Linked DNA regions of Daphnia pulex. The protein of the gene in region 1 purifies or fractionates together with the protein of each later gene. This does not show direct contact. Links are inferred from orthologs where the notes say so. Each region holds a gene or a part of one and is shown on either strand. Other genes may lie near its edges. The genes, in order: tRNA (adenine(58)-N(1))-methyltransferase non-catalytic subunit TRM6-like and tRNA (adenine(58)-N(1))-methyltransferase catalytic subunit TRMT61A-like.

Evidence for each region.
Region 2: the proteins of tRNA (adenine(58)-N(1))-methyltransferase non-catalytic subunit TRM6-like (region 1) and tRNA (adenine(58)-N(1))-methyltransferase catalytic subunit TRMT61A-like purify together in Homo sapiens (affinity purification with mass spectrometry; 4 studies listed by BioGRID and IntAct, counting the BioPlex papers as one, with this or other methods). This does not show direct contact. The link is inferred for Daphnia pulex from reciprocal best matches to the Homo sapiens genes TRMT6 and TRMT61A.

The regions. Positions count from the first base shown.
Region 1 is NC_060026.1:1,158,109-1,174,819, reverse strand, and holds tRNA (adenine(58)-N(1))-methyltransferase non-catalytic subunit TRM6-like, read right to left. Parts: upstream 8,225-16,711; 5' UTR 8,175-8,224; coding exon 8,083-8,174; intron 8,017-8,082; coding exon 7,579-8,016; intron 7,522-7,578; coding exon 7,348-7,521; intron 7,282-7,347; coding exon 6,999-7,281; intron 6,972-6,998; exon of another isoform or gene 6,935-6,971; coding exon 6,764-6,934; 3' UTR 6,718-6,763; downstream 1-6,717. Other genes in the region: uncharacterized protein LOC124204684, read left to right, coding at 1-68, 529-669, 1,022-1,105, 1,318-1,449, 1,510-1,631, 1,707-1,833; uncharacterized protein LOC124204686, read left to right, coding at 4,257-4,360, 4,439-4,538, 4,622-4,887, 4,998-5,181; uncharacterized protein LOC124204685, read left to right, coding at 5,984-6,559, 6,623-6,712; uncharacterized protein KIAA0930-like, read left to right, coding at 8,824-8,956, 9,022-9,182, 9,250-9,429, 9,494-9,595, 9,652-9,792, 9,865-10,003, 10,069-10,175, 10,237-10,405 and 3 more; NPC intracellular cholesterol transporter 2-like, read right to left, coding at 12,872-12,967, 13,039-13,241, 13,300-13,410, 13,583-13,685. UniProt on the Homo sapiens protein: Substrate-binding subunit of tRNA (adenine-N(1)-)-methyltransferase, which catalyzes the formation of N(1)-methyladenine at position 58 (m1A58) in initiator methionyl-tRNA.
Region 2 is NC_060026.1:10,307,036-10,323,515, forward strand, and holds tRNA (adenine(58)-N(1))-methyltransferase catalytic subunit TRMT61A-like, read right to left. Parts: upstream 10,326-16,480; 5' UTR 10,196-10,325; coding exon 9,841-10,195; intron 9,756-9,840; coding exon 9,489-9,755; intron 9,428-9,488; coding exon 9,243-9,427; intron 9,180-9,242; coding exon 9,048-9,179; 3' UTR 8,970-9,047; downstream 1-8,969. Other genes in the region: fidgetin-like protein 1, read right to left, coding at 5,333-5,455, 5,529-5,742, 5,813-5,919, 5,985-6,099, 6,156-6,273, 6,334-6,378, 6,457-6,645, 6,714-6,927 and 3 more; NADH dehydrogenase [ubiquinone] 1 alpha subcomplex subunit 6-like, read left to right, coding at 8,164-8,299, 8,379-8,623; brefeldin A-inhibited guanine nucleotide-exchange protein 2-like, read right to left, coding at 10,764-10,904, 10,967-11,352, 11,431-11,807, 11,872-12,286, 12,361-12,490, 12,552-12,661, 12,731-13,136, 13,209-13,336 and 10 more. UniProt on the Homo sapiens protein: Catalytic subunit of tRNA (adenine-N(1)-)-methyltransferase, which catalyzes the formation of N(1)-methyladenine at position 58 (m1A58) in initiator methionyl-tRNA.

The DNA.
Region 1 (16,711 bases):
TCCAGATGTTTTTGGGTGGCTCTTCCGGCGGAATTGACAAGGCAGACTCTGGAGTCAACGCAGCTCAGGTACACAATTAAAAATCCAAGGACAAACCAACCAATTTTCAGGGGATTAGTGTGGGCTTTACAGATTCTCTCCCAGACTTTGTTTTGGGTTCTTATTTTATTTTTTAAAATTTCCTGAAATCAGACCGACTCCGGATTAGCGAATATCTTTATTATTTCAAGTCTGAAAGCAGCACCAAAATGATTCCATTTTATAGCTTTTCTGGCTCTTTCTTCATCTCTCTTTCTCTCTCACACAATCCTTGGCTTATCTTTACAAAAAGAAAATTCCTTTTTTTAAGTGATTTTGATTTGAAAACGTTACAAGAAAAATCCAGACAGCCGCACACTCTTTACTTTACTTACTGAATTTTTCATTTCTTTTTCCTATTTTTTCGCTCATTTTTCCCCCCAACAATTTTCTCTTTCTCTTTTTCCTCGCGTACGAACAATATAAAACAAAAAAAAAAAAAAAAATCAGGGTGGCTTCAACTGGATGAGCCTGGTGAACTTGGGCCTTCGTCTGATGCTCTCCACTTTGAATAACGGCGGCTCGGGAGTTGCAGGGGGACTCGACAAAGCCGATTCCCAATCCGGTTCTGCTGCGGCTTCTCTCTCTCAGGTATATCTCTCCACTATCATCTTTTAAAGCCGCTCTTTACACACACACCACACTTTAAAAATTACCAACCTTGTAATCGTTATCGATTCAATTCTTCTTTGCCTTTTTCTCAAACTTAACTCAACTCTGGTGGCTTTTGAAATTGGGTGGGAAGGGAAGGCTTTTTTGGTTTCACATTCTTCGACACTACTACGACACACACAAATTTGGTACCAATTAAAAACCGACTGACCCGATTATAATTTTGCCCATCACGTTGCACCACCAGCAAAAATTAATGACACCAAAAAGAAATTCTGTGTGATAAAAACAAACCAACCAAAAAAATGTCAACCAATCACAATTTATGTAGGGTATGCTGTTGCCTCTGATGGCCAGCTTCTTGGGTGGTCAAGAAAAGGCCGATGTCGCCTCATTGGCCAAACAAGCCGGCAACGTAAGTGTCTGAAACAACAAAAACCCAAATGACAAAAAACTAAATGACGTGACATATCCTTTGGACTACTTGACTGAATCTATCCCTTAAAAAAAAAACCTTATTCTCCTATCATACACACGAATGACTTTTGCGCGATTTGACATTTGCCAATTTTTTTAAATTTGGAATTCATTTTTTTTATCTAATAATTTATTTTTGTTTTTAAATAGTTGATCCAGCTCATTTCCAGCTTGATGGATGCCCTTAAAGTTAGCTTCTCTCAACGCAGTTCCACTGCCCGATCCCTCGGAAGCAAGGACCCATTCTCTGATGCTGCTGTCGCTGCCGTCACAATCATGAAGGTAAATTCGATTAAAATTAATTTGAAACATTTTTGTTTAAAAATTGATTTGATTCAATAGGGATACGTCGATACCCACAAAACCACCGATGAGGTTTGCATGCAACGCATCATGTGCGATGCCAATAACGCTTGCGCTCGTGACGCTCCCGATTCCGGCTACCTTTTCTGCCAGCTCGGAACGTAAGTTCATATTTTTAAACAAATTTGATGCTTAAAAACAAAATTTAAATCTAATTTATTTCAATGAATTTATAGTTATGCTGCCAGCTACTTGTTGGAAAAATCTACCTTCACCCCATTGGATGCTTACACCCAGGCTGGCCGACAGGGACGTACTGGCGAAAGCTGCGCTCAGATCTACTCCCAGTGCAATGAGCTCTAAACAACGAAACAATATTTGATTGATTGAAACTTTATACTCCGTTTTTTTTTTTTTCAATTTTTATCCTCCCAACAACAACAACACAAATGATAAAACCCGCTCTAATAATTCCCTAATTTAAAACAAAAACAAAAACCTCCAAAATGTGAAGAAGAATTTGATCTGAATTTGATTTGATCCAGCGGGCTGGAACCGCTTTTTAATTATATGTGAGACTATTAAAAACCAATGAAGAAAATTTCTTGTTGTCTTTATAAAATTAAATAATTCCTCTTTGATGCTTTTGTGATGGTTTAACGAAAAAAAAGACATAAATTATTTCGAAAAGAATTTCAACGTCTTTTATTTTTGCACATAATCGATAGCAGTGAGCTGCCAAAGAATTTTGTGGTATTTTTCTATCAGAATTTTATTTTGTTTAATGACGGAGAAAATTGACTCTGAACTAAGTGACATCTGTTGGAATTGGTATTAACCACTTGGGGTATACACGATAATAACAGACGAACCAAACAGAAACACACCTGAAGAGATTGAAGGTGAATAACCTCTGTGTATAAACCCCTCAGGTTTTATTTTGGTTGGGTTTTCTTGTGGTGAGAATAAGGAGGAACGCGGAAATGACCGTCGCTATGACTTGGCTAAAGGAGAGGATATTCTCCCAGGTATACACTCGTTCTTTTTTTCCATCGAGTACCTGTCTGTTAAGAAAGAAAAGTACCGTTAGTCCGACTTGGTTATTCCTCCCCCCTCCACCTTTCTTATTCTTTCTCCTGTCCCTCTCGTGTTCCTTTATGAAATTCCTGCTGTGAAGATTGTTAACTTACTCTACTTGTGCTTTTGGGGGGTTTTGTTACGAAAGCATGATGCAATTCCAATTCATTCAGTTTTAAAACGGGGGGTTCAACTATAGGCATCAATCACAAATCAACTGGTTCGATGCAGGTCTGATTGTTTTCATTGGACCTGCATCAGCAAAAGGGCATTGAACACATGATGGGCTTACATTTCTCTGATATTTTTTTGTGCACGAACGACAGATGGCCGTTCCAAAAAAAGCCTCAAAATAACAAAATTGAACGCAAACAACAAAAAAATGAACGAGAAAAACCAAACCCCCGGCTAGAGAGTACAACAACCACATTATAAACCATTTTGAGAACAATTCGAGTAGAACACGACATACGAAGTTTAGGATGAATAAAACCCGTTATGGTCAGCGAACTCTGTGTATTTCCCTCTTCAATGGCTTTCTGATTCTGATACACGGAGAAAATATAACTAAAACGTTCAATACGTTCTTTAGAGAGAAAATGTTGCTACAATTCATGTCAAATTGAAAAAAAAAATGTTCTCAAGTTACGGTTTTTTATTTCTTTGTATAGTACCTTCGGGAAAAAACACATCTGGAAAACAGTTTAACTATTTTTTCGAGTCCTCGATCTAAACCGAAGAAACGGTGAAATAAGACAAAAACAAAATGAGGACAAACAAGTTTGTGACGCTCACGATCTTGTGCAATCCGCTACTATATTTCTTAACGAAATTCTTCTGGGAATGATGCTGCACAAAAAATATCCCTATTGCTGTGACCTACAAGAGATATGCCATCATCATCTTTCTCAACTATAATCCGGCGCCTTGAATGGATACAGCAAAAAAAGAGTTAAGTCGTCTGCCAGTATTAAAATTTTTACAATGAGCTTATTGATCCTTTTTTTATTTATCTTAGGCTCCTATATGAAATTTCAAGTTGTCCCAAGGTTAAGGGCATCAAGTTATACGAGTCTCTCCTATTACGAAGAAAGAATTTCAAAGTCAAGGCGTGTTATATCAACTGTCAACGAACTCTCCGTTTCGTTTTACCTGCGTGAAAAATCCATGAAATGGAATATTCGCACCACATAAAAATTTATTGACCAGAACTTCTCCCCCCACACACACATCAATCATCGAGCTCAACGATCCGTTTCTATCTCTTTGTCTTATCTAAAGAAGAAATAAGGTAGTATATCTTTAAATGGAAAAGAAAATTATTGGCTTTTCCCCCGCCAGGGTTTGGTGCAATTTTCTTAGCTTTGCCCGGCTCCACATCTGTTCCGGGTGTACTGAGCTCAAAAAGAAGACGAGGAAAGATATGGCGAAGAAGAATAACGGCTTATCGTGGCTGCTGTCTGACGGCCCTGGAGGTACACAGTCGGTGCGGATGCAGAGGTGTTTCACCTATTCATAGTCTCTACCTGTTGGATGGGTGCACTCAACGGCAGACGGTGGGGTTTCGTCCTCCAGCTAAAAAAGACGAGCACTCGCAGCTCAGAGGATCAGTTGACTCTTGAACGTTCTACCGTGCACAACACAAGAAGAAAGCAAGGAAAACTTGAAATTTGAATCATAGAAAATTCTTTAGAAACTTAAAAAAGAAAATGAAACTCGCAGTTTTGGGTTCCCTTGCCGCTGTTGCTGCCACCACAGTCATGGCCAACGACCAGCAATATCAACACGAAGAACACTACGAAGAAATCCCAGAGTGAGTTTGAATTTTTGATTTTTTTTAAATTTTATTATTTCTTTTTTAAACTAAATTTTGATTGCATTTATCTTTCAGGGATGAAGATCCTTTTACCAGCAGATCCCTTGCCAACAGTCCCGTTCCTCTTCCCGTCCTGGCCATGTTGACCATGATGAATTTCTTCAACGCCCTCCAGGTACTATAAACATTTCTAAAAAACTTTTAAGTTATTCCTTATTTTTTCCCAATTTTAAAATGTTTCAAATTAAAATTAATTAGGAGGACTGGTCTGAGGAGGATGGTCGTGATGGAGATATGGATTCCAACAGCAATCCTGGCCGATTTTCCGGTGTTTGGAAGAGAATGAAGGGAGTTCCAGGCGTATTGTACGAGACTTCCTCAATGATGGCCCCACTGACTCTTCGCTACATGCTCAGCGAGGACTCTGATCATCCCCACTGCCAACAGGTCATGCTCTGCGAGTTGAATGTCAAGGTTAAGCAACGCTTCGGCAAGCCCGGAGAGATTGCCATGCAGTTGGCCAGGTATGATTTAATCTGTTCATTATTCATTCAAGGAGAAAAACCACAGACATGGAATTGTAATTGATTTCCCGTTTTCTTTTCTTTCTCTGTGTCTATTCTTCCGTGAAAAGTTCAATGGCCGGTTACGCCTTGGGCGGTAAGGACGCACAGCGTTACGATTCTTTGGTGGATGCTGCCCGTAACGGACGCCGTGGAAAGGAATGCCACGAGCTCTACCCCAAGTGCCCGGCCCGTAGCGATGGCTCAGCTGTTCCGGCTCTCCTCAACTTGGCCAGTCGCCTCATCAAGAACTAAAACAACCTGTCCTTAACAACAACAACAACAACAATTTGATTATTTATTTTATAACCCATCCCGGCTATTTATTATCTCGGCAAAATTCTTCGACAAAATTAATCATTTGATGAACAAAAAAAGAAACATTTTTTCGGTGCATCGGTTATGGTGCACAAAATAAGGACATTAAGTGCATGGGGGAGTATGGCCGTCCAGGGTGTTTGGTTTATAACTTTTTCTTTTGTCAACTTTTATAAGAATTCTTACTTAACAACAACAGCAGCCCCACACTCAAATGACGGATGTTATTATTGTTAACTTTGATTCTCTTCCCACGGTACCCTATGTACATATTTAAGTGGTATGCGATTTTAATTTATATTCGATTTATTGGAATGTCGGCAACAATTTATGTGCTGCTTTTACCTTTCATTCCAAACACAAATCACCTGCTTCAATGGCTGTTGAAAATTTTGAAATACATTCGGAAGGGATCAAAAGAAATTTTGATTTCTCTTTAACGTAATCGAATCTAATCAGTTGTTATTCAATTTCTTTTTCTGTTCGTAAAATGAAATTTAAAAAATAATGAAAAAAAATATATTTTATTTGTTATTATCGGTAGCTAGATGGCACTACAGTTTTGTAAACATCGTCTACACCATGGTCTGCACTCTGCAGTATTTTCGTCAAGGCACAAGGCGGCATGGTTTGGCTGTTAAGTTTATTTCTCTTTTCGTTGTTAAAGGTTTAGTGGGTTTAGTTCAATTTGTTTTCCGTGTTACCAATAGTTGTAAACGCATTCTTGTGTGAAATTGCCATGCTAGCTTTTAAACATCTGGTAGCTCGAACAGCCCAATTCTTAGTCAGATCAAATCGATGTCGCAGAAGTACCCGGCTATTTAGACCTTTGCAGCACGTTCTAAATTTCAGTTTGGCTAGCGGTTTTGTCGTTACTTTCAACGATGATGAGAATCAGGAAGATGAAGTGAAAACTAAAGTCAACGTAGCTGAACCTCAAGAATACAGCAACATGTTTAAACTTCAACAAGCTGCAAACAGTGCTGTAGACTCCTCAATATTGGTTTTGTCTAGTTCGTTTCACACATTCCAATTCACCCATCAGATATATGTGTCATTACTGGGATCTGCTATAAAAGCCCTCTTAACTAGTATTGAGGTTGGCCCTGTCATGGTCGAAAGGCTGGGAATCGAGGAACACATTTCTCAGTTACAGTCAGAAATTTTCCACCAAAAACAGCAAATAAGTGATAGCCTTTATGTTTACAATGAATCCACAAAATTGCTCAATCAAGCGGCTAATATATCTTTCCTGGTGGGCAATGAAGTTTCATCTGGTTTAGCATCCACTCATCTACACAATGTTCAACAAGAGGTATTACATAATTTTCTAAACTGTTATTTTGGTTTTTTGATTAAATGTCCCATAACTTATCAGGTTGACAAGATGAAAAATGAAGCAACACAACTAGAGACAGAATATTTGGAATTGCAGATGCAGTATATAGTCAAGTCCCAGTCAACATGAAGAGGTGAGTAGAAGATTCTTCTTTTATTTTAACAAATACAAACGACACTTTCACGAGACAACTTTGATTCCAGAAAGGATATATCCGCCGGATCCACTCATGTTCACTTCGGGATGTGTTCGAAGCGGTAAAACTTGGTGAGTCCTGAACCAGGTTTCGGTTAGTTGCAGATTGACGGCCAGGTTGCACTCGCGGAATTGTATGTATGTTTCACTCAGTGGCTTAACGAATGAAATACAGTTTGTTAGTTCTTCATTATTTTAAATCTCAAAAGTTTTGTCTTACCTCGGAGTATGGACTGAAAATCACAAAATTGCCAGATGGGGCCAAAAGTTTCACCAGTTCCTTGGCGATGGTGGTCGGTCGACGACAGACAATTACCATCCCGTCGAGTGACCCGAATTCCAATGGTGGCGCAGCATCTTCGTCTAATTTTATCATTTTGGCCGGCACCTCGTCTCCATCCGCATTCTCTTCTTTCGCAAGCGTTTCTTTCAGTTTGTAGAGACTGCAGTTCTTCAGGGGCTTCAACTGCTCCGGAGTAAAGTTCATCGCTTGGATCACTCGCCTATTTACAACATAGTTGATTACTCGGCTGAAATATTTAGAAAATTCAAAAAGATTTGCAGTTTACTTTTGCGGTGTTCCTTTTAGGAACAGGTTCCAGACAGTGCCGTGCCCTTGAATTCTATCCAGAATAGCAGCTGTGACTAATCCTTGACACCCTCCATCAAAAACACCAAACTTGCCGTTGCTCTTGATGTTGGCTAAGGACATAATCATCGCAAGGGTGTCGGGACGTAAATTCCTAAAAATTATTAAATAAAATTATTATCCAATTCTTCACTGGAAAGGAAAGGCTTACAATATTTGCATGGGGTCTTGGGAATGGAAGTGTTTAGCCAAGTGTCTGATATTGGGTTTCAGAATGTCAACCCATTCAGAATATTTTTCCTCTTTTTTGTTTAGATACTTTTCCTGTGAGAATTCAGTCTTGATTTGGAAAGTTTTGCTGTTTTCAACTAGTTGTGTGACTATTTCACTTCCAGTCAACCCTTGACCTCTTAATTCTTCAATATCTTCTTTCTTCAGTTGTTGAGATGTGCCATCATCCCAAATTTCTTTATTGTTCTCTCCAGAGTTGAGGTCTTTCATTTTATCTTTCATCTCCACAACCTCATCTGATGGTTCAAGTGTAAACACACTGTTTTTGCCATCTTTTTCACGTACAAGCTTGAAAGTCCCATGAGGTTTTCCCACCACAGATGAGATATCGACTTTATCTCTCCCAATCTTAACAGTCCTTTATCGAGAAAAATATTGTTCATTAGGTTAAGCTTGTTACAAATGTAATTTAAAGGTGACGTACCATTTTTTGCCCTGTTTCTTTGGCAGCTGGTGTAGACTCACTTGGCTTTTTCTTTGAACTATAACAAATTCATCATTTTGGACTAATTCCATTATTCAAAAGTTCAGCAACGTTTTCAGATGTAAAGACAGTTGACAGTTTCGTCACAATACCACTCAATGAGAACAGAAGTCAACTATTGATTGAACAGAGATGTTGAGGTAGTGAACACGGTTTAGATGTAGCTTTTTATCAGATTTTAATCAAACTCGAAAGAAAACGACTAAATCAGTAGTTACAAAACGCATGTGCGATCGGCGCCATGTGATTTTTTTATTTTATTTGGAATGAGCAGACGACACATTTTTGACATCACAGCGGTGTCAATTGTATTTTTGAATCAAAAATACAATTTTTTAATTAAAAGTTTTCAAACATAATAAAGCGAAAATCAATTAAAAGTGAATAAAATATTCGTTTCATTTTCAGCTATGTATGTGTTATTAGAAACTTTCCTGAAAAATAAATAGTTCGACGTTGCCTTCAAATGTCAACTGTGTCAAAATAGACAGAAAATATTGAACCTGTTTGTTTTCTCAAATGTCACAATCTCATTTTGTCTCTTAGATTATTACTAAGCTCTTCAGTAATGCATGTTCTCTTTTGGGTGTCCATCAAATCAATTTGAAAGCATTTCAAACAATTATCAATGCTCCAATTATAGATCTTCAGTAAATCTGACATTCTTTGCAATCAGTCATTATGGCTGTTAGTTGGGATAAATTGAGTTCCATGGTAGACTCTGTTAATACTCGGTCTCCTAATGCTTTGGAGCAGCTATTGGAAGAAGTCAATTTTCAAAGGAGAAAGGAACGGAGAAAATATGTTAGAGAAGGTAAATGCATATATTTATTTTCCGTTGAAAAATTTAAAAGTTAAAACTAATTTTCTATTATTTAGACTCAGACTTTGTGCTCCTTCATGGAACACCATACTGGACTGATTTGTTTGTTCGGCACTTCCTGTTTGAATCAGATCAAAGTATTGATGCTGATGATCTCTTATTCTTTGTAAGAAAAAAGCTAATCAAAGGATCAACACGATTTCTAATGAAATTTGAGGTCAGATCACTTATTAATTCCACATTTAAAGTAATCATCTGTTTAATAAAGTGTTCATCAATTTTAGACTGAAGTTGAAGTTTTCCGTCGCGATAGTAAAAAGCTACCCATTGGAGATCCCGACGTGGCGTGGGAGGAGACTTTATATTTGAACTTGATCATTCATCAATTTGATTACATGTTAACCTTGGCAGTTTGCACAAGAACAAGCCCTAAAGATCTTCAGGTTTTGAAGCGTCATTGTCAAGTATGACCCAGATAATTTGCATTTAATAAAAATGTATGATAACACTATTGATTATTTTTCACAGAGGGTGTATGCCTCACCTAGTCGTAGAAGAATGGACGTTAAAGGTGATTTAGAAGAAATTACATATCCCAACATTTGTTTTATGGTGGACAATTTTGACGAGGTACTTTTTAAGGTGCAACAAAGTTCATTCAGTTTATTAATCCACTTTAAATTAAGGTTTATGAAGATATGCTCGTAAGAGATGGCGAGATGGTTTGCGTCGAACTTGTTGCCACCAACAGACGTGGAGTCCCTCAGGGAGTCCTTTTCTTGGGCTCTATTCGTTACGAAGCCTTAAAGAAAGTCTATGATTCTAGAGTGAGTAAAAATTTAGTTTTAATTTTGCGGTATACTATTTTATTTACAAAAATTTTTCTGTTGAAATTAAAGGCTAGTTTAGGTACAAGAGTCGCCCAAAAGTTTTCGATGGGTTTATGGAATGGAGCAAGTACACATCGCATGGAGTTTGTTCGCATGAAAGGTCCCCAAGGAAAAGGCCACTCAGAAATGGCCGTAACAAAGCCTAAAAGTTTGTTTCAGATGATCACACAGCATATTATTTTTATATCTTATTAATCTCTTGCTGGTTCGCAGGTTCTGGGTTAGACACCCCATGCTCAGAACCAGGCTTTAGCGCCACAGAGCTTTGGGACGCGGAGTGGGATTCTGAGCCGGAAGACTTGTGCTCCAACACCCGACAGGTTGATAGAAACCTTTTCTATAGCCATCGATCAAAATCTCAATAATTGCTTGTTTCTTTAGAGACGTTTGAGCGAGCCAAGTGGAGGTATGCCAATCAGCAACCGTTGTCAACGACCCAACACTAGTCATCAAATGAACGGGACTACTAACATGTCCCGCTCAGAGAATGAAGGTCTTGATAAGTGCAACAATACTTGGAATGAGATCGAGGCCGGTGATGTTCGAGACGGTAAGTGCATCTACACTTGAATCACGATTCTACACTTAAATCACTGTTCAGTTTTCTTTTTACTCGGTATACTTTGATGTTGTTTTTTTTTTTAACCCTGCGTATGTATTAACTAAATTTAACAAACATTTCTGTTAGGTTGTATTTTTGCTCGTTAAATATTTTATGTCGCATGCCAGTCGCTTTCTTTTTTGTGTTGATTGTTATTGGCATCGTTTTTGGCTGTATTATATCTACTAGGCATGCTGGCTGAGGAGCCGGAGTCAACGGACGTGCCCGGCCGCAAGACGGGTGCGACGTTCAAGCAGCTGGTGGACGGAAACCGAGTTCACTTTCGTGACGGTCAGTCGGCTCGGTCCAGTGAACCTGCTGGCCCTCGCACCGGTGTGCCATTATTATTTTTCATAAGCTTATTTTGTCTTGCTTTCCCTTTGATGGTTTCATATACTATTACTGTTTCAGCGTTTTTGTGAAGAGAGTTCTTGTGTTTAATTTTTCTTTTATTCCAATGATTTCTTTTTAGAATTGGACGATGGAGTGTGTAATCCACTTTGGACTATGAAAGGATTCACCCAAACCTTCCATTACTTGAAAGAGTCACGACGTGCTCAGTCGGTGCCTCTTAACGCGCTTCTTACTTACGTCACTGTCCCTTGGTATTCGATTATTGCCGGTAAGGGAGTAATTAATTAATAATGTCTTCAAATAGAATTATTTTTCTATCATTTATACTCATTTTGTTTCAATAGATATTTTGGACCATCACGACGCGCCTACCCTTACTTTCTAGCATACTCAACCACTTTCTTTCGGCATTTTTGCTATTGTCAAGGATCTCTTCTATTTTCTAGTTATTTCTAAGTCATTACTGTTTGTTTGTTTTGATATCAACAAAGGAAAGGGCCCGTCTTCGGTCGAAGATGCGGCCCGATGTTTCACAATCATATTCTAGATGTTTGCTTATTTTTCTTCAAGATAATATTTTTTTTCTGTTAAATTCATGGTACACATGAAATACAATTGTTTGGTGAAGCAAAATTCAAAAAAAAAAATGATTATTTTTTAAAATTAGGATTGCTTTAATTTGCAATTTGGCAAACTTGTTTTGTCACTTAAGTTTGTCTGCTATTGGAAAATTCAGTTTGATCGAAGTTTGCGATTTGCAATTTTGCATGTCCTGACTCCTGAAAAGGTTATTCTTTACGAATTTTTAAATCACGTTTTCAACAGTAGAGACTTGCAGCGTTGATGTGTGAGAAAATTCTTGACCATCTGCACAGTTGATTGGCGGCGTTTTTATTTTGGGCGAGTTTTGGGCTTAGCCAACAACGAGGAACGAGGTAGGCTAATAATGCTATAGTATTGATGGAAATTTTGTTCACTTTAATTGGACGCCATCAAATGTAGCTAAATTTATGGTCAATTATGGGACAGTTTTATTACATTTAAGTAAGGAATTTGTTTTGTCAAAAGCCACTGAAAAGTGACAACACTTTGAGCAACAAAAAGTGTTTTACAAGTGACGGCAAATCCTAAAGCAGATCATGTTTGAATGTGAGCTGTGATAATAAGCGAGACATGTGCCTGTGTAAAATACTATTTCTGATGATCTATCTAGAATCTAGATGACAACCAGCATAAAGCCTTTTTATGTTTTATGTGAAGCTGATTGCACCTCCACTTTGTTGTATTTATGTATGTAGGTGACCTTGTGTTCATTCGTCTTCATACATTCGACGTATTTTATTTTATGTACGTTTCTCAAACGTGACTATTTCTCTTTCCTCATTCAGGCCTCACCTTGACGACAAAAAGTACTGCCACGTGGATATTCTTCAGCACTAGATCGCCTACTGAGCTTACTGACTGATTATCGCCAGCCAGCATTAGCCATTTGTAAGTTCAGAACTATATATATTTTGTTGTTGTAATAGTTATTCTGTTATATCCTCTTCGAGACAACGATAATGTTGAAAAAAGGTGGTTTAATGAAAAACAAAATTAACGTAGTTTTCTTTAAGAGTTGGCGAAGTTGTTTGTTTTCCAGAAACACCAGCTAAATGTTACCGAATTAGTTAAGCGAACTTTCCGAATACTAAACTGATTGCAGAGAATCGAGCCATGTAAAAGTTGATAAGCGTTAGAGCGAACCGATATGTTTTTATCGAATGGGTAGGGTCTTGTTTACCTATAATTCATCCACACAACCTTTTTGTTTCGTGTATTAGAAAAATGCATTGTTAAAGCTAACATATTGACTCAAATAGGAACTTTTTGTTTAGTATGGTGCAGACAGACAAAGTTTTAAATAGAACCCAATCCAATCCCACAGGATATTATAAAATGATAAAATTAGTTATGTTGTTGTTTAATAAGTGCCATTACCATCTACGATTCTAAATGCAACTATCCACTGATTTTTTAAATACTAACCCTCTAGGGTTATAGCCATGAAGTTGATTTCAACTATTTCGATCGCACAAATTTGGCTGGTACATTTAAGCAGACGATTGTTTTGTCGTCGTCATCATAAAGTTCCCACTGAATGTTCACGTTTTCAGCCTGTCAAGTAAAACAAAATGTAGAAAAAAATTAGCGTCCATCGCCTAAAAATGAATCATTTTTCAACGTACCACTGGGTATTTATCTGAGATAGAAGTAGTTTTGGAGTAGGTGTAAACCTCTTTGGCATTCAATTTGCAACCGACGGCCAATCCGGACTGTTTATTAGTAATGCTGGGACAAGCCAAACTCTCTTTCGATTCCAGATCTGGCAACGAGATATCTCCAATGGTAACAGCAGCTCCGGTAGTGATGTCGCTTTTAATGTTGGTTGCTTGAAACAAATTAGGAATAAGGAATGCGTTTCATTAGCTCCACGAATCGATATTTACCTGGAATAAAGTCGAACTCGACAGTTACTTGTGATCCTCGAGTCAATTGACATGGAAGCGTTTGGCAGTCGGATACGCGCACCTCCAGCACGATGGCGGTCATGTCATTCCCTACCAAGAATAATTCAAAATTACGTCTCAATATTTATCAGAATTCAAACTTAAATTGTTCGACATTTTTATATGGCCGTATTTAAATTTCGATCTCCATCAGAGAAAAATTCAGAACAGTCCGACGTAAAATCAAGATAGGGCGAAATTAAAAGTTTGTAAATGTTCTTACCGAAACAAGGATGAACTGATACACGATACAGAGTCTTGTCTGCATGGGCGTAAAAGGCTAGAACGATGACTAGTACAGCGATGGATCTCATTTGAAGAGCCATTGCTGCTGTTGGAGCTTTGCAATGCTTCCGGACGCTCAGTCAAACAGGTCTGATCGTCCTTTGAACATACTGTGCTATTTTATAGAGCCTAAAAAGTTGTTGAATTCGCGTCAATATCCATTCGGTTTAGTTCTCGATGACTAAGACGTCCATGGGCGGATTTAGTTCACATGTGTTCAACAATGTTTCACAAGTGTTTCTACCTTTTAGAACCACGTCGTCATTTCTCGCATTTTCAAAGTATTCGTATTAGTTTCGGGTTGGAATTGGGACAACTTTGAGTTGCAGTAATTCACTTATTCGTATATTCCAATTCAAAGTGCTTCAAAGTAAAACCAAGTAACAACTTTGCATTGCCCTGGGGGAGGAGACTATTTAAAAACGAGACCGGTAACCGGATAAGGTTTATCTTTCATCAGCAAGTCTAACCCGTACGTCGCAATGACACATTTTTTTTTCACTCGTGTTGTTGTTGTTGTTGTGCATACGTGCGCCACGCGTCGAAAGGATCGCGCATGAACGATTTCACCAGATGCACTAAATGGGAATAATCGGAACGCAACTGTCCTGCACTTGTCGATGAGCGAGTTGGATTAAAACAAATTTCAGAATAGCTGAACAACTGAAATGTTTAGTCGTTCAAGCGGAAACTAGAACGGTTGGGTTTTAATATTAAAATTGTAATTCATAAGATAGGTATAAGTATTTGACTCGCTTTAACTTTAAATCTTCGTGCTTTCTCGTGTGCATTATGTGTATCATTGGTATTTCTTTTTTCTCTGAAATAATTTTACCTTTAAACTTCTTTAGGCATGCAGTAAAAGACACCAGAGCCAGAATAGTAGACTGACCGATGTCGGGAGAAACGCGGGATCGAACTTTTGCAGTTGGCGGGAACGCGTCGTAATTTGAAAAATAAACGAACTGATTGTAGTTCTGCCCGGCCAGTAATTGGGGAAGCCCGCCAGCAAGAAAACAGTAATATCAACCACAATCAAAGTAAGTCACCAACAATATTCGAAGCAATTTTGTTTTAACAGATCAAATAAGATTTTCATGATCTATCTCTATTACTACTAATAAATAATGTGTTTAAGTAAAACCAATTGAATCTTCGAATATATTTCCAGTTTCAGCAATTGAAAAGCAGACCATTTATAGTGACGCAAATACTTCCTCCTCTAGTAGTCCACCGGTAAAATGAGTGTAACCCCTACCATTTAGATAGATACCGGTGGAGAGTTGATTAATTTCAAACCAAATTTGGTCGCCCTTTTTCAACCTCAGCGTTGATGGCAGAGAAAAGGTTCTCCATGTGCCTCTTAGGGCGAACGCATTAGCGTGACAATATGTGATGTCCTTGCCATTTAACTTCAGCGCAATGTAGAGGAGTAGTCTATAAGAAGATTCCGGAAACCACGCCAATCCGTTCAGGTTGAAAAAGTAAGTCCCTGTTGTCGTTGCCGTGAATTTCCCCGTTGATGTATTCATAGCTCCGCCCACATTTACTAGTTCTTCGTCGAATATAATTGTTGTATTTGCTTGACTGAAAACATCGTTCTTGTTTCTCCTGACAAAGAAGTAAGTCGGTGTAGATTTGATATCAGAAAATCCAATTCGCGTTTCAAAACCTATATTAATTAAATCATAAAAGTCATTCCAATGCTCCTTCTTTTGAGCAAATCAAAGTATTATATCAGAGGATGAACTTACTGGGATCGAAAGTTAATTTGGAAAAGTCGCAGTAGACTGTTTCGACATACTTAGCTCCCATTACCGAGTACACTCCATTGAATTGGTGTCCTAGACTTTTAAGATCCAAGCAGGAAGTGGGCATTTTTGTTGCTAGTCCTTGTCTCATAGTAGCGTTACTTGGGGTTAATTGACTGTTGATTGAAGGAGCATTCCCAATTCCTTGCTTTAGATTTACAATCTTTATAGTTCGTTAATATCCGGTTTAACAGTGAAAGCGATGACTTACATGTTTCTGGTCTTTTAGTCTCAAAAGTTCTTCTAACTGAGCATCTTTAGCTTCTAGTTGAACAATTTTGATATCCATAAGTTGCTTTAGGTGAACCTTGCAATTTAAATAGTTTTAACATTAAAGCTAACCTAAATGAAATTTAATTAAATAAAACATTTTTGATTTATTACATAGCTTTCCTTCAGTTGCTGTAATTCTTCTTCTAACGTGAGTTTAGCTGCGCAACTCGACCAGGTAAAAGACAAAATTAGTATATAGAATAACGCTGTCGATAGTGGAGCCATTTTGCGATGGCCCCAAGTCGGAAGGTTCCGTTTTCCCAACTGATTTAGCGACAAGGATTCGCTATGGGTTTAAAAGGCTCTTTGACTAAATCATTCAATTTTTCGTAAACATATTGACTTGGTTGCGTTTTACACAGTTGCAGCTGGTGTATCTCCTTGAAAGGAACAAACTCCATACGAGACTGGTGCGGTCTGAGAGGATTCGAAACTTCTGTTACGAATAATCATGTGGTAAATATTTTTCTTTTGTGGTTTTATTTCAAGGTATTTCGCAGCAGTGCACCGACAGCTGTTGATTGAATTTCCTACTGAGCTGTTGACTCATGGCCCTCTTTTTGTCAAAGGTATGTCATTATTAGTATACACAGTCGTCGTTCAGTGAAAACGTTCTTTGTAAAAATTTGCGGTAGAAATAACTAGTTTCCGCGTTTTTTGCAGCTGTGTAAAGCTTGATTTCTTTTAAAAACGTATTCAGTCCTTAAACATAAACAATACGCAATTTTAAGTTCTAATCATTAAGTAATGCTATGAAAAAATTGTTTTGCGACACAGAATTTTAGGCTGTTTGAGGACATGGCTATTACATTTCTTTCCCTCCTTTTTGTAATGGCAAAACTCGAGTGATACCGGAGTGCAGTTGCATGTGTAAGCAACTATGAGGTACAGATATAAAAGATTAATTTTTTGTTTTAATCGATCCAGTATCTGACTTAATTTATTCAGATGTGTTTTTACAGAAGATGAAATAACAAAAGTCG
Region 2 (16,480 bases), about 9.2 Mb from region 1:
TAGATTGGGAATAACTCGGCCAATCTAATCCGGAATGTAAATTCCTTTTGGATTGGTATTTAGGGATGGCCGAGCAAACTTTTGGGAGAATTTGTTTTTTTTAAAAGGTTAGCATTTACCCAAAAAGCGACACCAAAGACCCCCCCAATTTGTTAAAATTTGAAAAAACCCAAACTTTAACATTAAATATCTCCCGAACGACAGTGAATATTTAAATTCTGTAAAAACAGGTGATTTTGGAGTAAAAAACTGGATATGCTTGAATTATTACAGATTTTTAGGTCCCATAGCGGAATGCGAAAAAAGGAGGGTCCATGGATTTGCTGCTCTTGAGTGGTGGATTGCTTGTTAAAATAAAATATTTTAAATAGCGGGAGTGCAGTATTGACATTCAGGCACTAAACACTTTGTTTTCTTCATCTCTGAAATAATTCAAATAAAACTGCAAAACATGCGAAAAAAATCCCCTGCTCAGAATTTTTTATTCTATTAGGTTGCTATCTTAACTCTATAAATATGGAACGCGAAAGTGACAAAAATTTAACTGCTGAAAATTTAAAAATTACTGCTCAAAATTCACTCTACTCTCCCCCCGACTTCTAGCTGGCGGTCCAAAAAATTTCGTTTCTACGCCTCCTTCTGGGAGGAATCATAAGATATCGATTGAAATCCATGGTCGCTTAACAATTGATTTGCAAAGAGCAGTTGATTTTGAGCAGTTAATTTTTTTGTCACTTGGCGTTCCATAAACAAATATCTACAGTCCATAAACAAAATTTTTTTCATAGAGGATTATTCTCTCGATTTCCCCATAAGTGTTAAACGCGTAAACTGGAATGAACGGTCCTACACTCAGAATTTCACCAGAATTTGTGGTAACATATTTTAAGCATTCAATAAAAATTAATTTGCTTACAGATAGAAACAAGTAAGCTAATAAATATCATTTAATTAAATTCTGATCGATTCTGATTTTCTTATTCTTATTACCACCTTTTTCCCGCATGAAAAGGTGCGCTTAAATTAAAATTAAGTTCTACTATCCTTTCCTAAGCAAATTAAGCGAGTTTTTTTTTGCATTTTCTAATAACAATCCTCATTCCTACATAAAGAAAGCTGGAAACCCATACTTATACTAAATGCGATTTTTTATGAACTAAGCTAACTAGGTTCCCATGATTATTTTTATTTTGACTATAGTGTACGAAGATTACAGGCTACTCAGTTGCTGTGACCTGTTTGCAGCCCATATACCAACGTGACTAATATTAACCAATAGGCCTATAACATAAATAAGTTGCTTGATAACTTTACCAGTAACAGAAGAAACGAAATAACGAACATCTCTGATGTATTACTGACTTTGGGTTCCCGGATGTTCTAATTTGACGCACGTTTTCGAAGCAAACAACAAAACAGTGTACTTTAATCTTTTTAAATCTTATTAAACATTAAAATTGAGAATGGTAGTGATAAGGAATAGACGGTACGATGTCATCCGCTTCTACACTAGTCTTCGACTGTTTCGTTCATGGAATATTTAGGTTAGATTTATGTGTTTTCAAACATTGTTTGCATGTATTTTTTAAATATAAAGCTACGTGCTTCTACGTTGGTTTGAAATGTATTGCACGTTATAAGATGCTCCGAATATTACATGAATATGAGAGCATCGTGTATACTGGTTTGGAATGGTTATTCGTGTTTGATGCATGGCAGTACTCAATTTCCGTAATATTCTATAAAATTCAACAATGACATTGACATTTGTCGTTGAAAACAGCGTGAGAAAATCTTAATCCTAGTTCTCGACCAGCCAAAATTCTCTTGGAAATTGCCGGATACACGACGTGCAGAATGACGTGCTTCTTTTTTTTATTTCCCTTATAATTGTTTATTTATATTTATACTTTTTAAGGGTACGCGGAACAAGTTGGATGCTATTTCCAGTAAAGCGAACTCGGTCATCAGTCATTGAGTAAAACGGGAAAGATGTCGCAAGGCAATATTTTATCATTCTTTATTTTGTGGGAATCTGCTAAATAAATTGAAAACCTAGTCCAGTACCGGTAGTATTGTTCCGTTATGGTCGCATTTTTCTTTTTTTCTTTATTTGTTTTTCTATGCGTTTTATTCTTTTGCATAAAAAAAGTTATAGCATAATATTAAGCTATAGTTAGCTAATACATATGGCAATTGAAATGTCCCGGCAAAAATACTTGATCCACAGCCGGCCTGATCTCAGTCCCTAGATGATACGCTGCGTCCTTCTTTTATGTATATTTCTTTGCACTCTCTTCACATACACACGTCCACCTTACCTTGCAGAGTCTAGGCTACGGAGTATTACAGGCTACGGAAAATAAAGATTTCTATAAATGTGCAGAGCGGGAGGACAAAAACATCCAAAATAAATAATAAACAATAACAGAAATTATTAATTAAGCTACGTGATGCGTGAATTGGAGAATAAGTATAGCCTAGTGATCCTATTTCTATTTAAAATATGGTATTAATACCAAATTTACAATTTTTATGCTGACGAGTGAAACCGGATGGCAACGATTATGCTCTAAATTCTTGCAGATACGCGAGCGAGAGGCTGTTGGGATCCTATTTATTGGCTTGACGGCCGACCTTCGTGCTGTGCTCCAGTCCTGTCTCGTGTCCCGGTCCTGTTGAATTTGATTGAAATCTCTAGATTATTGAATCTCAGGCGTTCTCTTTCAATTCTTTTAATTTTATTGATTCGCTCAAATGCAAATCAGTTCTGGCGATCTCACTGGCCGAAAAGAGGTTATCCTTGAATTGGTCGTGGCTGTTGGTGACTCCTTTGAACGGAGAGCACGCACTGACCAATAAAAGTGTTTACTTTTTTTCTCATTTTCATCATTTTAAAAGTCACTTGGTTATTAGTAATATATATTTTTGATTGCATAAGTGGGTCCTGTGTATAAAGCATGGTAGAATATATAGCAGTGTAGAATCGGTAAAATTTTGAAAAGAAAAATGACAAGGCCACCAGGAGGTTCAATATAGCAAGTCTCGACACTGGAGTATCCTCCAGGGGATAGATTTTACCAAGATCTCTGGCAGAGGCTGGAAAACTGATAAAGGCACCTGTTGGAATTTAAAGTACTTGTTTTTCTTGTCGCTTCTTCAAAATTTTGATTTCTTCAACAGTTGAATTATCCGAAGTGGAATTAACTCTTTCAGTTGTGACATTCGACATTCACCTCCGATCTCCGAAGTCGCCTCCGAAACTATTATTGAATCCTGTACCGCTTCCTCCAACCATTTCTATTCCGCATCCTAAACAGCAAATGGCCCAACAGATGATGGGACTTAATCAGCAACCACCTCAACCAGATCCTCCAATCGCTCCACGCATTAATTCTCCAATGAATTCACCAGCTCCATCTCCAATGGTGAGAAAGAGGGATATTTTACTATTTGTTTTTGCATGTTTTTATTTAAATTTTTTTATATCAGATGGGCTTTCCCTCTCCTCAGACAAGTAATGGGGCTTCGCTACCCGTGTCGCAATTTAATCAAAGGAGTATCCAGGATGAACGCGGTGGTCAAGGCCATGGTGAACATCAAATGAACTTAGTTCCATCAAACAAAGAAAGGCATATGATGAGACGAAGCGTGGATAGACACCGTATGAGAAGGCAAATGGATGCTGTGCCCTATCCGTCCAAAGAGGCTTACGATTCTTATGTCGTGAATAATTACCGCAATACGATAAAGTTTATTGACATACACCCCTCATCCAGTATATACCACCTGATACCACCACGACTGCTGCCGCTCCAAAATACGAATACTACGTCCCACGTTATTGATTGCCATGTATTATTTTTTCAGGCGTATAAGTATAATATTTATGGATTTAAACCAGTTTCTTTGTTTAAATGTCAAGTTTCAGCTATCGCTGCCAGATCGCTGCTGTGGTCTAGCAACAGTGAGTATTGACTTGTTTCTCACTTGATCCAATTTCGACGACAATAATACTCTGGCCATAGCAACAGTGATATAGGTTATTCTATCAATATGTAAGTAATCCTGGTTACCATGGAAATGCATCAAATCAAAACTCTACAATGTGTTATACTATTCGGGTATTGCTGTTGGGTGTATAGTTTCAAGGTTGTTGTACTGTTTGCATCGCATGCGCAAGGATTAATCATGTTTCATTCCGAGTTCGACGCGTATCGCTAGAGATTTGTCAAGTTTCATTTGGTTGGTCAATGTCATAGTGACAAGATGGGTTTTAAATCGTTCATCTTTTCTTTGTTTATACTATCGTTGTTAAGGCCGTCATTTCAGCACAATGAACAACTTGTTCAGCTGATTCTCAGTTGGGAGGACGAAACTTGTCCTGGAACGGTTGTCGTTTTTGATAAACACTATTGGATGGAGGAGCACGCTTTGATTGACCAATTGGTTCTGCAATACTCGCGACCCCTTACACTTTTGCAAAGTTTCAGCAACTACGGACTGTTGCCGGATGACGATTCGTGGACCGGTGCAGGTGGGTCTCCGTTGGAAACACTCTGTAACAATATAATTATTTTCAATCGCTATCCGGCTGATTTAACGACCGTCTACCGCCAATTGACTGCTCGCTATCCCTACATTGGGCAAGTCTTGGTCGTAACCCCAAGTGCATCGGAGCAAGTCGAACGATTCCTTTATGAATTTAAAAATCACAAAATTATGTTGGTGATCAATCGACCTTGGCGTCATTTGGAATTACGCAACTGCTGTTGGGGTCCTGATCGTCGAATTCGGCGCGTTGATCTTCTGCCGGATTCAAGCGTTCGCTGGGAGGAATTTGGGCTTCGCACTTCTAGCAGGATAGCTGATAACGGACCGAAAGATGAAGATCAATTCACTGACCCATCTGTTTAGCTCTCTATTTAGTACTGAAAGAAGTTGAGTTCTGTTTGCACGAGCCTAAAAACAGAAACACTTGATTTTGATGTCTTAGTAAACAAATGTTTTATCTAGGTAGCAATCAACATTGTAGATGTCGCTGTTTATCTGAAAAAATGTATCGAGTATCTACTAGAAAAATTACTATTCAATTATATATTCCAAAGTTGATTATAAATACACAAAAAGAGACGGAAAAGATGAAGAACACGGATGAGAACGTAGAAGACGAGGTATTAGAACGCGAAAGAGGATAAATTTAATTAGATTGCGCGAAAAGGAGGAAACTGGAAGATAGAAAAATCCCTTCCAGAGACAGTGTGGCATAGTAATGGACGAAATCATATTTAATCTTTTTTATTGGTTTATTAAACACGAGGAAGGAAATATTTTATTTCGCTGCACTGCCGTAACGCCTGTTCCAGTCTTCGTAAAGGTCTAAATCTTGACTGGACACGCTAGCACGAACCTGACATAAGGCTGCGTCGAAATCTTCGTTGGTTATAGGGCGAACCTTAAATACGTATTATTTTCCTTTTACAAAATTGCTACGTTAAACACACACATTTACAACCGTAATAACAAACCTGGTCAGGAGATATGTGCTCAATATCACCCAGAGCAATGGAACGAATAGGTCCATAAGCAGCTTCTTTGCACAAGTGGGTCATATCTGCACAGGAATAGCCATCAGTGCGATTGCAAATATCAGCAATCTCATCTTCGCCCAGAACATGACGCTGCTCGGCCATTAAAAGATGAATAATTTGTTTTCTGGCTGTGAATTCGGGCAAGGGTATACTATTTAAAACAAGATTAAATTAAAGAAACTAGGGTAACAACGAAAGAGCAACATTCTTCGAATCCATACTATAATCGTTTAACTAATCGGCGCCGGGCAGCTTCGTCTAACTCCTGCGGTCGATTTGTTGCACCAACTACTAAGAGACGATCTTCCTGGCTCGTCGTTGCTCCATCCTTTAATTATAAAAATGTTGTGTATCACTTCAGCCTATAATGAAAATATTGGCAGGGAAATATACCAGTTGGACGAGGAATTCCGTTTTGATTCTGCGCGAACTTTCGTGTTCCGATTCAGACCGCTGCGATAGTAAAGAATCGATTTCATCAATGAAGATTACCGAGGGTTGATTCACTCTAAAAAAATTTCAGTTAAATAATCTGAATTATGACTTAAAATTTGTTTCGATAACCTTGCAACCGCAAATAGTGCTCGGACCATTTTTTCTCCCTCACCAATCCATTTGGATGTCAATGAAGATGCGCTGATACTGAAAAATGTTGATCGGGATTGACTGGCAATGCATTTACCTGTTAATTACCGAATTTTTAGATCTATCTATTTGTCTCTAAATAAGTGAATTAACGTACCGATTAAGGTTTTCCCTGTACCAGGTGGCCCGAACAATAAAATACCTGCAGTTTACATACTCTTTAAAAGCTGCCAAGCAAAATAAATGTCAAGTAGAAAAGGGAATACATAAAAAAACTTACCTCTGGGAGGACCTCTAAGACCAGTGAAAATATCTGGTCGCAACATTGGCCAAACAACAATTTCCTGGATAGTTTTCTTGGCGAATTCTAGACCGGCTATATCGTCCCAATTCACTGGCGATCCATTATCCATGATTTCATTCTCAATTAGCTCTACCATCCGTGGTTCAATATTTTTCAACCTTTCGTCTGTGAATAGTATCTAGTTAACTTCTAGTTTAAATAATAAAACAGTTTTTTAAAAACACAAGCTTTACCAACAACTTTTTCTTGTTCATCATTATTCCCAATTTTTTTCTTGTCTACACCGTTGTTTTCGCCCTCGTTTGATTTGGCATCTTTAATAGGAAGAATGAAAGGGCTATTTAAACCACGACGTTGGCCAAGAGACTTGGGACGGCAACCATAGGAAGGCGCATTCGAAGTCGAATTATTAGTTCCTCCCGCATTTTTTTTCTTTTGATCAAAAATCTTTGAGAATAGTTTTGAATTGGTTTTCATTAGTAATTTAAATTATGTAAGTGTATGTCAGTAAACTTACTAATTGTTCTTTGGCTGTACGGAATGGAATATTAGGTTTAACTGTCTCATCAACCTTTACTTCAGATTTCACAGGGTACCTGATCTGGGGATTTATAGTTGAATTTTTCTTTGCTGTAACATCCTCAGCTCTTCTTTCAGACACATTAAAACATTTCACTTGCGGATAAACTATTGGAGGTTTCTGTGTTGAATTGGATTTAAATTCTGGTTCACATGGCTTTAGTTTAGTAACCTGTAGTTGAGTGGATTTTTCCTCTTCATTCTTATTTTTTTCAAGTTGTACTGAAAATTCTAGTGTTTTCTCAAATTCTTGAATATTCTTCATTGTTCCTTCAGTTTTACTCAAGTCATTTTCAAGTGTCTGGAAGATACTTGTGTTACGAAGATCTTTTAGACTCCATTGTTTACTCTCTGAGATGTTTACTTAAAAAATTTAGTATAAGCTTGGAAACTAAAATCTTAGATTTACCATTTTTAAAAGAGCTTGCAAGTGCCAAAGCACCTTTTGAATAACTGTCTAATCCTCTAGAAAGGTCCTGTTCATCCACAATCTGGAAGTATTTGTGGATGTATGAGTTATACAGAGTCAAAGAAACTGCAGGATCTTCATCACTATAAGTATTTTTTAAAAATTAATTAGGTAACCAAATAAAAAATTAATTAGGTAACCAAATATAACCAATATTCTGAGATAAATAAACATACATATCTCCAGAGTTTGTTGAATAATAGAGCTGGGCTGCAATTTTCCGTTGTATGTCAGCTTTCTGGCTTGGGTTGAAATTACCACTTGTGGTTTTAATGTCTTCAAACATCAAAGACTCGAAAATATGTTGAAAATTTGCATTTAATTCACTCGTCTGATTCAGATTCGACATTGTGTCCACAAATTTATCCTGTTTGTTATGTTTCGTATTTTTGAAGCCGCATGGTTTTGTAACCAACGTTGCAATGTACACAACTGATTGAAATAACGGGACGAAATCGAATAAATTTTATTATTTTAAAAGTTCAAAAATAAATATATACATGTAATTCTGGGCACTAGTAAATTTTAATTATTTAAATTTTAATTCGGCAGCATTTGACATGAAACAAATTTGGTTACTGTTTAGAAACCACCTTCACTCCTTTAGATCACAACATTTCTGTTCTATTATCAAAATGGCTTCAACTGCTGGAACAGTTATTAAATCTGGAGTTAAACAAGTGAGACCACTGCTATCTGTCGACAATGCCGAAGCTCGCAAACGGGTCCTTAATTTGTATAAGGCCTGGTATCGTCAAGTCCCATACATAGGTAAATGATCTATTAACAAATTCGTCAATTCTATTGCAACAAATTATACCATTTGACTAAAACCCTGTAAATTTCGCAGTTTTGGAGTACGATATTCCGAAGAATGAAGCCCAATGTCGCGCTAAGCTGAGGGAAGAATTTGAGAAACACCGACATGCTAAGGATGTAAGAGTTATTGATATGTTGGTTGTAAAGGGCCAAATGGAACTTGTTGAAACTGTGAAGCGGTGGAAGCAAAAAGGACATGTTATGAACTACTTCAGGACACCCATCAATCCAAAACCCAATGATTTCTTGTCTAAATTTATTGCTGGCAGTGCCTGAGGATGGACCTGTCTGAGATACCAGAACATCTGTATAGCCATCTGTAAGGTGGAGTTAGTGTATAGATAATAATAAAAGAACAGCGATGTTGAAGGAAGAGAATTTTCATATTTTTCTTTTTTAGTATTAGATTCACAATATTTGCTGGCAATTATCACTCCACCACCATGTAAAATTTTTGCTGACAACATAGGGACTGAATTTCGGATAATAGAGAAACCTGAAATGGTTTTAAATGTACATGTCAATAATTGAAGAAAGGTCATTCAGTACTAGTTGTTTTGATTACAATTGGAATAAAAACCCAAATGCAATTGGAGTAAGTAAAGTATATTGATGTCTTTTGTAAGGTTGAATATTGATTGATGATGTATTTTCAGAGATGATTAATAACTTTACACAACAATCTTTTAATACAAGTTCATCATGTCTGGCACTTTTCTGACTGACGCGGCCACGTAGCAAAAGTAAGATAACCGGTGTGTCCTGCCATTTGTAAAGCTGGAAGTACCGCTCTAAATTTGCGATCATCTTTTTTCTGATTACCTTCACAGTTCTGTTCAAAAAATACACCATAAGTTAGGTACTCACACATTTTACACGAGCTAATTATAAATACCGTTTCTGGGGTATTACAAAAGGAGAAATTGTAGTCATCAATCTCAGGTAAGGTGATGTTTTTTACTTGGTACTCTCTCTGGAGGCATTCCATTGTCTCAATATATTTGAATCCTTCAGCCAGCAAACCTTCACATGTCTTTTGAGTTTGCTCAATACATGGGGAGAAGGTACAGATTCTTCCTCCTGGAAATCATAAAGGATGATTACATACATCATGACAAGCAAAATCAAATGGAAAATAAACCTGATTTTTTCAAAGCCTTGACAGCATGAGGAATTGCAAGCCATGGATTTGGAAGGTCTAAAAAGACTGCATCAGCTACATTTTCCAAGTCAAAACCATCCTTGCAGGCATCTCTCTGTTTGGCAGTAACAAATGGTTCCCATCCATGATCTGAAAATTCCTGTGTCACAATCTCAACTCTCTGTTGATGGAAATCAAAAGTATGCAAATGACCAGTGGGTGCAATAGCTCTTAAGATAGCATGAGAGAGAGATCCACTTCCAGTTCCTATGATTGATAAAATGTTTTGATAAAATTATTGGGATACTTATTCATTCAATTAAAAATTTCAATGAAAAATTGCACATAATACCTGATTCAACAATAACCGAGCCAGCTTTTAAATCCAGTTGCATTACAATCAAGCTTATATCAGGTGTGTAAAGGATTTGAGTCCGATGTTTAAGGTTTAATGTCCACAGTTCAGGTGTTGGATGAAGAAGATAACCCCAACCACGAGAAAATTGCACTTTATGTCCGAACTTTTTCCCTACAAGTTCCTGAACTTTTAAGGCACCATATGCAGTTTGAAAAATGTTTTCAACCATATCGCCTTTTTTAGTAGCAATTAGGGGTTTAACTTGTAAAGCATACATAGCTTGTGGATTTACATAAATAATAACAGTGTCCCCCTCTTCAACTACACATTTGGTGTTGGCGAAGCTCATTTTCTAAATGATCTTATTCTTTACCTTTCCTAACTAAAAAATGTGTTTGTATTTCAATTTTTCTTCAAGAAACATCCAAACACGTGTATTGGGATACTGACATGAAGTTTTACTTCTTGGGCACCAGATGGACTGGAGTAAGGGAAATGCAAACTTGGCGCGACCATGGCGCGACACTTAAAATGCGGTGGAAAATAATAAAATATAGCAAAAAAAAAACAAAAAAAAAACAGCTAGTATAAAAAAATCTAAACTTTAAAACACGGAATGGAGTCTGGGCTTATTATGTCATAATCGTTCATTTCATTCGATGTTTACGACGTTAGGTTTAAAAAATAAATCTAGTTTTTGTATTATCTTCTATTCTAATATCGTTTGTTTTAAAAGTTGTGTAACTTCTGAGTGTCAGTAAGAAAATATAACGATCTAGTAAACTTCAAATTCTTTTTATTTCTTTATCAAGGACGGTGAAGTGATCACTCGATACGGGAACTGGAGGTTTACATATGAGGGAGCAACTAGGGGTATAAATTTTCAAAGTACTAAACAACACCTAATAGATAAATATTCATGGAGCGGCGGCAATGACTCGGAATACTTGACCGACTTTGAGAAAAATCTTTCTAAGCAATGACCGCAATTCCGGTTTTAACTCGAAAGACACCAACTCACACAGAAGCTGATGCCACCAACTGACGTGCGTTTTAAACTAAAGAAAAATATACACACATTAATTAATAACAACCCTTGATAATTAAATTTAACTGTTACCTTTTCGTCAGTCAGTTGATTTATCTTCCACAGGAAAAGGAGCATAAGAGGTGACCATGCATCACGATGGCTCTCGGTCTCAAGAGTAACGTAGTACTCGAGGGCGTCCTTACCCAAATGTGTCAGTTTATCAGCTACCTTTCCCCATTCGTTTTGTCGCCCTTCGTCGTGGTAAAGGCGGAAGAGGATGCGCATGGCGCAAGCAAGACTTTGCGTTTCCTGTTTCAGCAAGTTTGGTCGGACAGGTCCTCGGAATCCTGCCTTCCATAATACATTCCTCTGCGTCGAGTTGGTGTTGAACTGGCGAGCAAAATTATGCGACTTTGCTAAGCAATCGACCATCAGCAACAGGTGCTCTGTAGACATGAACTGAAACATTCCTTGATCTATAAAAATAAATAGAAACAAAACGTTGTATAAATACAAAGATTGTAGAAAAACAAAACAAAAATATCACGTAATACCGAGATCAAGGTCTCTTTGGCTAGCCGAAATGCTTTTGGCAGAGGCGAGCAAATCCGCATCTTCTTTGCGAGTCGTAGAAGGGAAAAAAACGATGTTGTCAATGGTATGGATCAGCTCCAACTGGACTTGACACTGAACTAAAAGACCATTGAAGAGTCGCTGTGTATCTTTGACTCCACTATCCGTTTCAGCTGGCGCCGAGTGAGGGCTCCACGTCAATAGGGCATCAGGTAATGTTAAATGGAATATGTCATCAACACAACCACAGATTCGTAACCAAGAAGCATCACCCAGCTTGGGTCCGTTACTAATCACCAGGTTTTCCAAGCAATTGACACCTGAGCGCGCTAGTTGCTCATTTTCCTGGGTCACGCACCTGCACCAAAAATGTAACATGTATTCTATAAAAATACTATGAGCTTATGCTATTAAAAGCTTACCACAACAGCTGAGCGATAAAATCATCAATAAGCAATGAACCGATCAAATCAAAATATTGCGTGATAACATCGACCATGGCGTAGAGTGCGTGGTTACATGTAGTAGTAAGCCAGTCAGATTTTTCAGACAACTGATCCGGCAATTTCGATTGGTTGAAGATTCGAAAGATAACTTTAAATAAATCCTTCCACCAATGTGACCGGAACGTTGAACCGTATTGTTTAGCCATTTCGAAGAGAACAGTTAGAGCGCGAGTACGCACGTCTAGTTTGCAACGTCCGATGATGCAGCTCAACTCAAACAGAATGGGAAACCAACCACGGACCCATAGGCGTTCTTCCTCGGGAATTAATCCCAAGTTGGTCACAGCTGAAGTTAATTGGCTGTTGACCATGTCGTCTGCCAATTGGGCACCTTTAAAAAACACACAGATAGTTTAATATGTTGTTAAGTCAAGTAAACTTTCAGTGCATTTTTTTTTCATTTACCCCCATCGCGAAACAGAGCTGGTTGGTCGGCAACATGCCGACCGCACAGCCTTATCAAACGGATAGCCTCCATGTTAGTATCCGGGAAAAGTGGATTGCAGGCGAACTCGCTTAGGCACTTGACGCAATCCTATCGTATATCCAAGATTAATACAGACTTTCCAGTGGCATTATTATGATAGTATAATTACCTGGAAGCTATCGATCATTGCCGCCATGTTAGTTACGTAAAGTTCTGTTACAATTTTATTTATTGTTTGAAAAGCCAGCTCCACAATTGCTTCGTCGTTGTCGGATGCGGCTGTAAGATTTCGGAACAAAAGAGTATGAATTGATTCTTAAAATATGAACATTTCTATCATACAATTACCTAGTAGAAAGACACAAAATATGTTCTTCCATCCTGATTTGATATTATCTGATTGGCTATGAACCATTTGGGTGACACAACGAACCACCATATCGCGAATTGTGGGTGATCGATTGCGTTTCATGATGTGCTCAAATGGCCTGAGAAAATCTTTTTGGAATCGAAAATTTGCCAGTTCTCCCTTTTCAATGAATTTCATTGCAAGTTGTCGAAGTGAATCGACTGCGAAGAAAGCGATGTTCTCGTTACTACTCGTTCCCACTTTGTTAAAGTGGTCGCCCAAAACCTCCCAAATACGCGACCATTGCAAACGAATACGTCCCATATTGTAATAGGAGATTTCAACAATTTTCTGCAAACTGAACATGCGCGGCTGCGTAGAATGGGCCAACTCTTCAAGTGAGATCTGTTAAAAAAAAGGTGATTGAAATATCACAAAATTCATACCGGAGGCTCAGAAACTGTCAATAATAATTACCTGGCATAAAGCGCGGACAAAATCGACAATAGCATTTCCGTCCAACCGGGTAGAACCAGTGAAGATCCGATCCACTGCTACCACCACGCTCTGAGAAATAGTTTCCCCAATGGACTCTTTGACACTAGCTGCATTCAGAAATAGATATATGAAATATTTTAGGGGAATGTTTTTTTATGAAATGCTTACGTTCGAGGGAGTTTATACTGACGCTTGGCAGATCAGACAGATGTAGATTATTACCCGAAGAAGAGATACCTGGTAAGTTCAAATTCAAATTCATGGCGCCCAAATTCAAATTCAAATTGTTGCCTTGACAAAGAACAGAAACAAAAAACAAACTTAGGCCACATATACGGGACAAGACAAACAGTAAGCCACATATAAAAAAAAGCCAAAATATTTTTACCAGCTAAATTGGCACCTGTTGGTGTAGTCGGAGTTCCAGTAATAAATTGCGGTCGAACTCCAGTGCCTATCAGCTGAGCCAACTCCAATTGGCTAATACATTTAAGGATGTCAAGCCACGAGTGTCCCAGGTAATTTCCATCAGTATGGGCGACTGTTATGAGAGTCTTGATCGTATCTATGTTTTTAGTTTTTATCTCAGTGATCGGAGAGTTGGCAGTCAATAGAGTAAAGCGGGCCAAGGCTTGAATGAAAGCATCTCGTTCAAGAGCCATATGAAAGATGCAGGCTATGCGGATGGCACAGCGAATACCATCCAGACACAGAGTTGACACTTCCAGATCATCGCAATCTTGTAGTCCTACACTGAAAGAGGCTAGAAAAGGTGTCCATGCAACTTTGAACATGGGTCGAACATGCTCCGAGTGCGTAGCTGATGTAAAGGGCGAATGAACGTGACTGACAGACTCCATTAATTGGCGTGCAGTCGAAGACAAAGCTTCCATTTCCATGTTCCACAAAAGACGACGTTTCTTTTCATTCGCTGTCCCTGCTAATTAATTACTAAAAGTAATCCCTACTAATTGAATTCTTATTTACTGAGTAATACCTGACTTGCTAACTTTGTTGCCTAAAGCGTTGGACGCATGAGCCTTCATTTTGATCTCGTTTCCAGCGATCTCATCGTAAATCTGACTAAGATACTCTTCAGGCAGATCCTAAATTATTATCAACAAGACAGTGATGACGGGAATGTAAAATAATGTTACGCTACGAAACACCTTTGAATCGTTGATGCCACGATTGTTCTTAATGAACTGTTCCTTAGTCATCTTGTTCTTGACTTGTGGGGAATGAAGATCTGTCGTTAGCATGATGATTGAATATGCCAGAACGTAGGGAGCATCAGCACTGGCGAATAGTCTAAGACTGATAACAAAAAATCAAAATAAATTGTATACTCAACATCACATAAAAAAATATCATGAGTTAAGAAACCTTGAATTGCATTCACAATAACGAGCAGCAAACTTTTCCATAAGCCTGTCAATTTTTTGGGCTTCACCGGGTAGTCGAAAACCCTCCAGAAAGTGACGCAGGGCACTAACGAAATCTTTTTCGTTGAAATCCAGTAAATCAACGTAGGCGTACATAACCTCCTTATTAAACTTGTCGGGTTCTCCAAGAAAGTCGCCGACTACTGTTTTATCCAGTCGTTCCTCCGTCACTAGAAAACGCGCCACGTCAACTGCTTCTTCCCCAAGAAGCTTCTGCGACTGCAAGTATTGCAAGCCTCTCCTAGATTTCCGATTAAACCTGTAAAGGAAACATCGGCATTACAAAAATTCATTTCAAATAAGAAGGACGAGAGATTTACAGCACGATCCCCTGTTCCCATATTTCCTTTTGCTGCTTGATGGCTTCAAATTGTTTTGGAGTTGTCATAGTGCCGTTGACGTAATTTTGGCTTTCATTTTCATCTGTGTGGTTTTCTTTTATTTTCTCGGCGTCTGTGTAAGAAAGTACGTTATAACGATAATGATTTTTTGAAATACTTGTTGTAAAAGACGAACCAATGTTAGATTGCGCATTAGGATTGACATACAGCTCACGACTCCATTCAACCATACACTTCAAAATTGTCACAAGGCACTCGAGGCCTTTTATCCGTAAAGCCTTTTCTTGAATTGGCGTCGTCCTTAGGTCTACAACATGCCGCCCTTGAGCGATCTTCGACAGTACATTAACTAAGCGCTCAAAGATGTTGGCAGCAGACAAATCGCAGTCATAATTGACATACAGGTCTACCACACTCTGAGCGTCGGCACAGATACGCGTTAAAGCTTGCATAACTAGCCAGTGGTGGTCAAAAGTCGAACCAGGATTTTCTAGAATGTTGAGAAAGATCTCCCGGAAAAACACCTAAAATCAAATCAAGAAACACAAATAAATTAAACTTGCACAAAAATAATCAGATGAGCTACGTACTTCAATTTGTTTTTTAAGTTGTGCCTTAAAGTTGTTCAATAATGCGAGAAAGAGAGCTAGGGAAAGCTCAGCTACTTCGGTTACGCTAGAGGCTCCGTCGCGACTGAGTGCTACGCACAGGCACTGCCGGACTACAGATAGAAAAACAGGATGCTCGCGAAAAACTGGGCCGGCATTTTGCACCACTGATAAGAGAAGTTGTAGAGACAAAAGTTTGGACCGCAGCTCATGAGATCTAAAAACAAACAAAAAACGTACTAGTAGAATATCCCAAAATGAATAACCAGGTTTACAGATACATACTTCGGATCTGGAATGCCGTCGGGCAGAGGTTTCATGGCCAGCCGACAAAGTGAACGAAATACAAGATATGCGTCTTTTTGCAAAACGTGCGAGAAGCTATTGGACGTCCCAATCGGTTCTAAGTCTCCACCACTGGAACTAGTGCCACCAATAGTGTCAACACTGTCTTGCGAGGGCACTCGGGGCAGCGATGATGAACACACTGAAATAATAGATGGAGGAGCTCCTCCGTTGCTCTGACCTCCTTCGCTTTGCGTGTCTCCTTCAACTTCTTTTTCAGCGCTGGCATCTAATATAAAAGTTGAATTACCAATATGTAATAAACTTAATGATTATTTTTAAAATGTATCAAACCGTTGACGGCTGTTGCAACGATGTCGTCAACAATTGAAGAAACTATTTCGATAGCTTCTAGTTTAGTTTCTCCAACTTCGGCTTGTTCCAGATTGTTTTCCTGATTTGGGAAGGCTGCTTCTTCTTCAATCTAAAAATAAACAAAAACAAAAAAACAAAACAATCTAATCAATCCATCAAATGAAATCAATTGTAGAAACTCACAGCCTGATTTTCCA